2 linked regions of the Drosophila melanogaster genome follow. The protein of the gene in region 2 interacts with the protein of the main gene of each other region in a pairwise test. Each region holds a gene or a part of one and is shown on either strand. Other genes may lie near its edges. The genes, in order: Cdc6 and HP1e.

Region 1 (5,336 bases), on a different chromosome or scaffold from region 2:
ATTGGTTTTATAAAGGATACTGGTTTAACCCCATTAGAGATAGAAAGTAAAGCAAATCATGCTGATATTTAATTAATTTTGAATTACTTTTAAATATTTCAAATTTCTAAGAACGTGGCCCAATCCAGATGAAACATTTCACCTTTACCGTCAACCGTTTGATCTTGGAATTCAAGTTCAAATGCAAATGGCAGCGCCAACAGACCTGTATGTTTTTCGAGGTTTTTCGCCTTACTGCTCCCTCAGAAATATATGTATTTTTGAGGAATAGGAATATAGAACGCCATATACCTATAGATACATTCATGCATATATCTAGCTGGCCTCTCTGCATATAGCTTATTATTCAAACATTTGTTCGCCTTTCGTCAATACGCGTCGAAAGGCAACCAGAGTTTTTGAAACATATTTTTCATTGCGCTCTGGTTGTGTCGGTGGTGCTCAATGTAATTCATACCACTCAAATGGGGATATTTTTAGAGCAGAGAGCGCAGGAAGAACAACAATAAGCCAGCAAATAAATAAACAAAATGATTATAGAACAAATTAATTTCATGTCGAGATGGCCAACAAAAGCCCACACAAATTCAGAAGCACTGGTGTTAATTTGACTGGTATGTTCTGAAAACGCCTCAGAAAACAATGGCAACAGACTTTCCCTAAGATTTTCACAACTTTTGGCACGACCCAAGATTCAAACTTGCGGCGCAGCGAAAGTGGAAAACGTTTTCACTTTTGCGTTTTATGTATTGCGGAACTATCTAGTTTATTCTTATTTGCTTAGGGCTAACAGGAAGGGGATTCTCTATAACTTATTGGTCAACGGATCGGATTAGAAATAGATTATGGGCGCAACATTTACTTAGATTTATGACACACACAAAGTCTAAAAGAATCGATTCAATTAATAGTCAGAAAATAGCAGAAAATGTCGAAAGTGACCGTCAAATGATATTTCAAAATATTTCAGTGCTTGCGCCAGCCACGAATTTTAAAATTAGCGTCAAAAAGTATTCCTATACATATACGTTCGTCCCCAAGGTGAATGAAAATGAGAAAAATGCGCAATTAACCAGCGGTTTGTCGGGCACACTCATTTCCTAGAGGTAATCGTCCAGATCGTCACTTGCTCAGGCAGGCGGTATCGCTGAGGATCGAGGCGATCAGCTGCTTGTCGCTCAGTGCCGCATGCACCTCCTCCTCGTCCCACTGCAGCAGAACCTTGTGCAGGCGCGGCTCCTTTTTGCGCATGATTCGCAGAATGCCTCGGGTCTCGACCAGATCCACAGTCCCAGTGAACTCCGCTTGGTCCAGGGCCAGGATGTTGCGTTTGGCGCACACTCTCCTGTAGACCTCGTGCAGGCGACCCATACTGATGTCTTTGTTGCGCTCGTTGCGCAGCATCAGCACCAGGGTGCACAGCATTAGCTTTTGCTGCAGCGGAAATGATGCCTCGATGTCCTCCTCCAGATTCTGTGAGGCACCGTAGACCTTGTTCAGCACTGCAGCCACTTGGGTGACCTGAACAGGCTTTAGAGTGTCTGAAATAGTCAAGATAGGATTTCTTTTTAACACATTCTATAAATTTATCTTTATATACTAAAGAAACGAAGGTTTACCTTGCTTTTCCTTGGCCTCCACCGCATCCTTGCCCTCCAGCTGCAGGGCCTTCATATTGAACTCCTTTTCGCCATCGCGCTTCTGCTGCTCTGCTATCTCGACCACTCGTCGTCCAATGTCCAGGGCCCTTCGCACATCTCCACTGATCGCACTCACCTTGGCGGCCAGCAGCTGCAGGGTCACGGGTGGAAAGACGTCCAGCACTTCCGCCTCAGCCAGACGCGACTTGAATATCTCCACGATCTGCTGCTTGGAGTAGGGCGGGAAGTGCATCAGTCTGGGCTTCAGCTCGCACCTTGCATTCAGTCGCATCAGCGCACGATCTGTGAGATCCAAACTATTGGCAATGCCCACGAGCAGTATCCTGGAGCCGGGAAGAGCTGGCCACTCGAAGATCGTGTACAACACCTCCTGCCTGCTGGTGCAGAGCTGATCAATCTCGTCCAGCACCAGCAGAAGCATTCGCTTTGCTGTCTTTAGGTGACGCTGAATGGCCTCCAAGTGATCTCTCTCTGTGCGACCGCTGACTTTGAGCTGCAGTTCGGTGCATAGTTTCTTGTAAACTGCTCCTACACTTGCTATGCTGGTGCAGTTAATGTACACACGTTGCAGACGCTTGGAGAAGTCGGGATCTCTCAGCAGTAGCGATAGGCAGGCGGTCTTGCCTGTTCCTGGCTGACCGGAGACATAGAGGCTGCCGGAAGTCTGGCTTTCCAGGTGATTGCTGAAGAATTCACGTAGCTCTTGGAGCTGGGACTCACGTCCTGGCAAGTTTTGTGTCTCGGCGCTGTTGAGCACTCGTCTGGCGTTTTGGTATTTGTTGCGTGAGGGAGATGGCAGGTTATTCTGTTGGGTTTCCTCATTGGTTTGGATATTGCTTTTTTCTTTAGTTTGGTTTTTATTCGGCTGCTTTGTTGGAGGTTTCTCCTGCTGCTTTTGCGCTAATGGATCCTCCTGCTGTTTTGGCCGAGGCTTTGCCTCGTCCTTGGCTTGATGTTTCGGCTGCTGCTCAGCCGTTTCAGTCTTGTGTGTGGTCGCCTCCACCTCTTCCTCCTGGCGCTCGTCGATGCTGAGTCTGTCCAGCAGCCGCGAAGGACTGATCAGGTGCTGTGGCAGTGGCTGCAACTTCCTCTGCTTCGGCGGCGATCCATGAAGCGGGTCCACCTCCGAATCCTGTTCGCCCTCCAAGAATCTAGCGGTGGCCTCACGGTTTTCCTCCTCACGTTTGGCCCGTGAACTGCCAGCTGATTGGACTGTTTTCTTTGTGCTGCGTGGCGTCTTTGGCAGCTCCGATTGAGCCACCTGCACTTGCGATGTCCTGCGCCTGGAGATCTTGTCCATTTTGTTGAGCACGTTGCGGTTCTCGTTGTTCTCTGAAACGGGGCTGGTCAGGTCATAGATCGCCGTCACCACCTCCTCCTCCTCGTCGCTATCGGCAAGCACTTTTTTCGGCTGCCTGCGTTTCCAAACTTCCGAGCGACGCGGCGTCTGCGTCGACGGCGGCAGCGGAGAGGCGGCGGTCGCTTTGCTGATGCTACTAAGGCGCGTGGAGCGGCGTACGGCAGCCATTCTTTAGCTTAGTTTATTGATCAGCAGTTAGTTACTATTAAATACGAGTTAAATAAGCCACAGCGTGCGTTACAATTTTCAGCTGGCAGTCACAGTTAAAAAAGCGCGCAAATTGAGTTTGCCATTCGCCACGAGCAACAGCTGATCAAGCCTGGTCTGGTCATCTGGCAGCTCTAGCCCAGAGCTGCCTATTGTCGATCGCCTATCGATTAGGCGCGCATAGTTACAACATTTCAAACAGCAGTCCGCCTATATTGAATTACTTACATACTCGCGTGTGGACGGCCTGGTAAAAATAAAATGGTCCGCGGCAGATAGAAAACACAAATCGCTGGACGTTGAACACGCTTACGTAAGCGCCTAAAAATATTTCCCCTGGCTATGGGATATTTTTAAAGTATATAAACGGGCGCACATAAAATGGAATTTAGATATAGCGAAAAAAATTATGCACACACACGCTCGAAGGAGAAATACGTAGCACAGTGGGCAAAGATCTGGTGATTTCTAGAAACTCTTTTAATCTCTGTCTGATTTATTTATATTATCATTTGCCGCAACGGCTGGTCGGCCAAATGTGTGCCCCATTTCGGCGTAAACAAAGTCGTTAATCTTCACCGATCCGCTTTCCAGCCCTACCGTACAACTCCGCTGGTCCTGCCCGGCGCCAAAGTGAAGAAGGATGCGCCCACGACAGAGTCCTACTTGAGGCACTACCCCAACCCGGCTGTGCGCGCCCACCCAGGACACGACTACCATGACAGTATCATGAAGCAGCGCGTGGCCGACACCATGCTGCACAAGGTGGTCGGTTCGGAAGCCGACACTGGCCGCGTAAGTACAGGGGACTTCTTAAAGTCACACCCACATAATGGAAAATTACAAAAACTAGAGTTTTCTACATTTAAAATTGATATTTTCAATGTTAACATTTCGAATTCGTGACCTGTAGTCTTTGTTCTAATCCTGTTACGAAATTGATTGTATTTAATTTAAGTGTAAGTTGTAATGGGTTTTACTTACATTTGTGTACATATATCCCCCGATTTTAGGTCTTCCACAAGCAATTCAACTCGCCCATTGGCCTGTACTCCAACAACAACATCGAGGACACCATCAGATCCACAGTTCCGTAAGTTGTCACCCAGAAATGTACCATCTGGAAACTCCTATGCTTAGCTCGATACAATGAAAAAAAAAAAACACTAATATATGAACTTTTGGAATTCGCTTGTCAAATTGAACTTATAAGCCTATGAATTACGCTACATATTCTTTGGATTTTGCAATTTACGAATAAACCTGCGTAGAGTTCTTCGAAATTTTTGATGCAGCTTTTCTTTTTGCCAGAGAGACAGAGAGAGCCACTCGAAATGCGCCAAGTAGCTTGAAAACTAATAAAACGAGTCACGAACACACGGTTACGAGTAGCCTAAGGTCCACATAACCCGAAAAATTGGTTCCTGGTTAAGCTGCGGCCATAATCCACTAACCCAAAAGCCACAAAATCAAAGTCGAAACGAAATTTACTAAACCGATGCACACACGAAATGAGAAACACACACAATTCGAACATACGATTGAACACGAAAACCAGTCCATAGATGTTGTACGTACTACTTACTACTGCCTACTGCCGGATCTCTGTTTTACATGCATTTATATACATTTACATATATAAATATACCACTCTCTATATATCCTATATATATTCTATGTATATTGTTGTAGCTTCGCCACAAGCGAAAGCAATCGCTTGAAGGACAGTCCTTTGCATCGTCCTTTGCCAACAAAACTTAACGGGTAAAAGTAAATTCATATCTTGAGCACAGCCTGATTTCGTTCTTTGATTGAATCCTTTCACTTTCACTTTCACTTTGATATGGAAAGCACAATGAGCAAGAACGTGGAATTGTACCTGAACTTGCCTTGAGACAAATTAAATTGAATATGAGGAATGTTTGCCAAGTTTCCCGTGTTTTCCCCTGCCTGTCTGTACAGACTAACCCTCGATTATTGTTGTCTCCCGCAACCTGAACAACTGAACTATATATGTAGTTTCTAAGAACCAGATACAATATCTATGTCAGAACAACAGAAACAACACGACACGAGTCCAAAAACCCGAATGCATGTGCTCTGCTGTC
Region 2 (3,371 bases):
AGTGCAGAAGGCTTAAACGAAACCTTTTTGCTGCTATTGTGGCTACGTGCCCACTGGACGCAACTGGGTAGCACCAGAGCCCCCCCCCCCCCCCTCCAAAAAAAAGGACCCAAGTGACGAAAAACAAACACGAATATATAGGGCAAAAGTACGTCCGGCCACCACGCCCCATCAGCCAAAAACAGAGAATAGGTCTTACGACTTTTGGTACTTGCGATGAGACAAGGGAATGGCCACAAAAACGGAATGCAAATATTTTCGCTTCATTTTGGCCGTCGTACATTCCTGGCCCTTGTTTGCCGGCACTGTTGTTGCAATTAAGAGTGTTTACGCTGCCTGTCGGGCAAACACGCCCCAAAAATCACTTAAAACTTGGCATTTTGCCTTCATTATTGTTTGTAATGCTGTGCAAAGGGACACCTTTTATTATAAAAAGTAAAGCAATTTAACCTAACATATAAAATATAAGAAGCTCACACACATATTCATAAGTTTTTTTTTTTTGAAGATCCAGAATTGCAAGTCATGATATATAATTATTTAAATAATCGTGAAAATTGCAATGATTTTCATAGAATTTCAGAACCATCTGCGGTATTTCCACATATGCAATTCCACTTGGCACCACTTGTGGTTGATCGAGATGCCAAAACCTAATTAAAAACGATATTTCACCATTGTTTTTAGCGCCTTTTAGAATCTCTTGTGCAGTGAAACCATGATTAAAAGGACTATCTACTACTAGACATGGATCGATTTTCAGTCGTTTAGCTTTAGTTTCATATTGATTATTCAGCTCTTGACCCCTCTTCAGACTTTTTTGTGATTCAATCGAATCAATAAGTGAATGGCAATCGAGATCTGCTGCCGATTCCCAGGTATTATCTTCATCGCTATAATCCAGCCATTTGACCAAGTATTGTAATTGGCCCATATAATGCCTTCGATCCAAAATCCTCTCTACAATATACTCCTCAGTTTCTTCAAAATCCGTCGAATTTTCAGAGAAATTCGAAACGGTCTCGCCACCATCGGCATCTGAATCCATTTTATATTTTTAAATGTTCAAATAGTATTTTTTTGATGAGTTTTGACAGCAATGTCAGAGCGAAAAACATTTTCGTAACTTTTTATCTACAGTTGCTACTCAACAAAACGTAGTTTTCTGTGCAGACAAGTTTTCTTTTAAATGCTGGTCTACTTTAATATCTTCTTGCCAAAAGAAATAAAATTATGAAAAATATTGTAATGAATTCGTTTAATATCCTGAAGTAGAAAAGTTAGCCATATACTTAATGCCCACAGCTTAGGAAATGCGGCATTAATAATACCAAATTCAATAGCAGAAAGTGAATAAAATTGTTTGCCGGAAATCTATTAGAGATCCCTGGATGCTGGGTAAGTCCTTTCGAACAACAATAAGAATAAGATGAGCCGTCAAAAGGAAAAACTGCGGAAAATATCGTAAAAAATTATGCGTAAACTTGGCGAAAAGTTTGAAATACTCGTAGAACAAAGTTTTTTTCAGTTTGGTTTCGTGTATCACGTTGTTTAATGAACAAAATCTTTTGCCTTTCAAGGCAAACTTTGCAGGCCACAGAAATCGTTGATGAATCACTTGACAATAAATTGGGGAATATGCTTTAAAAATTTGAAAGGTGTAACAACTAGTTATTTTTCTTATTTATCCTTCATTGAAAAACATAAGTTTATGGCTTCCCTCGAAGTCAGTTCCACATTTTATGGCTTTCTTTTGTAGAATGAAGGCGCCACGTACCTGATATTAAATCGGCAAAGTTTTATTACCCGAAATTAAAAGCTCGATTATGCGCGATGACGTGGGACAGATTTGTGGGATTGGGTCGCTTGGTTTGAATACTTTTTAGAGGCCAGCATTTACATGCGAATGTGGCAATCAAACTGTGCAGTGAGTGCTACGTGGCCGGAATAAATCAGGCGACTTATGAAGTAGGATGGAGTTGGAGATTCACGGCAAATACATACATAAAATGTGCGCCTTCGTCAACTGCAGTACAGTGAAGATTCGAAAATCGAAATGGAGTGGAGGGGTGGTCAAGAAACGTGAGGTGCGGTTGTTTACTGAAGCCGTAAATGGGGGGCCGGGCAATTTCCGTGCGGCGAGTTGTGAAATCAGCGTCAAATCGGAAGCACAGGAAGTGGAGAGGTGAGCAGTCGGCGCAAAAGTCAATGTGACTGCCTATGCCATCACTTCCGGCAAATATTGATTGCAGGGGGTGGTGCCTAGAATGGCTAAAAGCCATTTCTGCCTGGGTAAATTCAATGTAATTGATAAGCGAACTCTGCCGGCAGATAGGCGGCAATGAGCATAGTGTCCTGGCACACAGATACCCCATATATGTATGAGCAAACATACTGGCACACAGACACACTAGCAAAAGACACTCAATTAAGAAAACAATGGCGGCTCGGTTTGTGCGGCAATTGAGTTTTTCCTTTTTGCCATCTGCGTTGGCCGTCTTTGTTTAGCTTTCGGCTTTTCCTCTTACCCCGTTCCCAATTTGCCAGTAAGACGCTTAGTCTTGCCACAAGCCCATCGCAAAATGCTCTCTCAGTATTCTCGTATTTGACTAGTACTGCGATATCTTTGCCTTTTAGCCAACTTGAGTTTCTTGGGTTTTTGGCCCCATTCTACTCCTTTATTCCTATCGCACGCTCATTAGCCGCTGTCTTCGAGCCAATTTTACTGTCACTTTTTGCCTCCAGTGCTGGCTGTAGTTCCTTTGTTCGGATTCCTCGCTTGACTTAACACACTTTGGGCTAATTTCCAGTTTTATTTGATCATCATTATAATTATTGTGTGCTTGTTTTTGACAGTATTACGGTCATAATTTTTTTTTTTTTTTTTTTTTTGAGACCAATATTTGATGTTTTTATTATTTGATCAACGCACTGTTACCCATGCGGCAACTTAATTTGATCTGCTTAAATTATTTTATTTTACAATGTGTCTTGGTTACTTAAGACTAACAGATTTTTAATCCTAAAAATGTTAGGGAGAATTATAATAGTTGATATAACATAGTAATTATTATTTATTTGATTATTCTAATGAATTTTAAAACTAAGACTTTCTAGGTCAAAACCAGGTTAGGGAGGTCATGAGGGTGGTGTCGCTTGAGTCTTCTTTTGACTCTAGTCCGAGGGTCAGCATTGACCACAGCTGCAGTTCCTAGCTTCCTTGCTAGGCTGTTGGGGTGTACACGGTCATAATGGAAAGCCAGATTCGTTCGTGCGCTCATAAGTAGGCAATGAATTTTGATTGTAACTTTTATCTCGTGCTGAATATGTTCATATATTCTTACTTATTATCGTTTTACCGTTTAAATGAC

What was found.
Region 1: the proteins of HP1e (region 2) and Cdc6 interact in a two-hybrid assay, tested with the Drosophila melanogaster proteins (one large-scale study listed by BioGRID).

What each region holds. Positions count from the first base shown.
Region 1 is NT_037436.4:8,630,761-8,636,096, forward strand, and holds Cdc6 (cell division cycle 6), read right to left. Parts: upstream 3,310-5,336; 5' UTR 3,190-3,309; coding exon 1,620-3,189; intron 1,542-1,619; coding exon 1,123-1,541; 3' UTR 749-1,122; downstream 1-748. Other genes in the region: Zasp66 (Z band alternatively spliced PDZ-motif protein 66), read left to right, coding at 3,823-4,023, 4,242-4,321, 4,921-4,992.
Region 2 is NT_033777.3:9,319,503-9,322,873, reverse strand, and holds HP1e (heterochromatin protein 1e), read right to left. Parts: upstream 1,105-3,371; 5' UTR 1,049-1,104; coding exon 524-1,048; 3' UTR 513-523; downstream 1-512.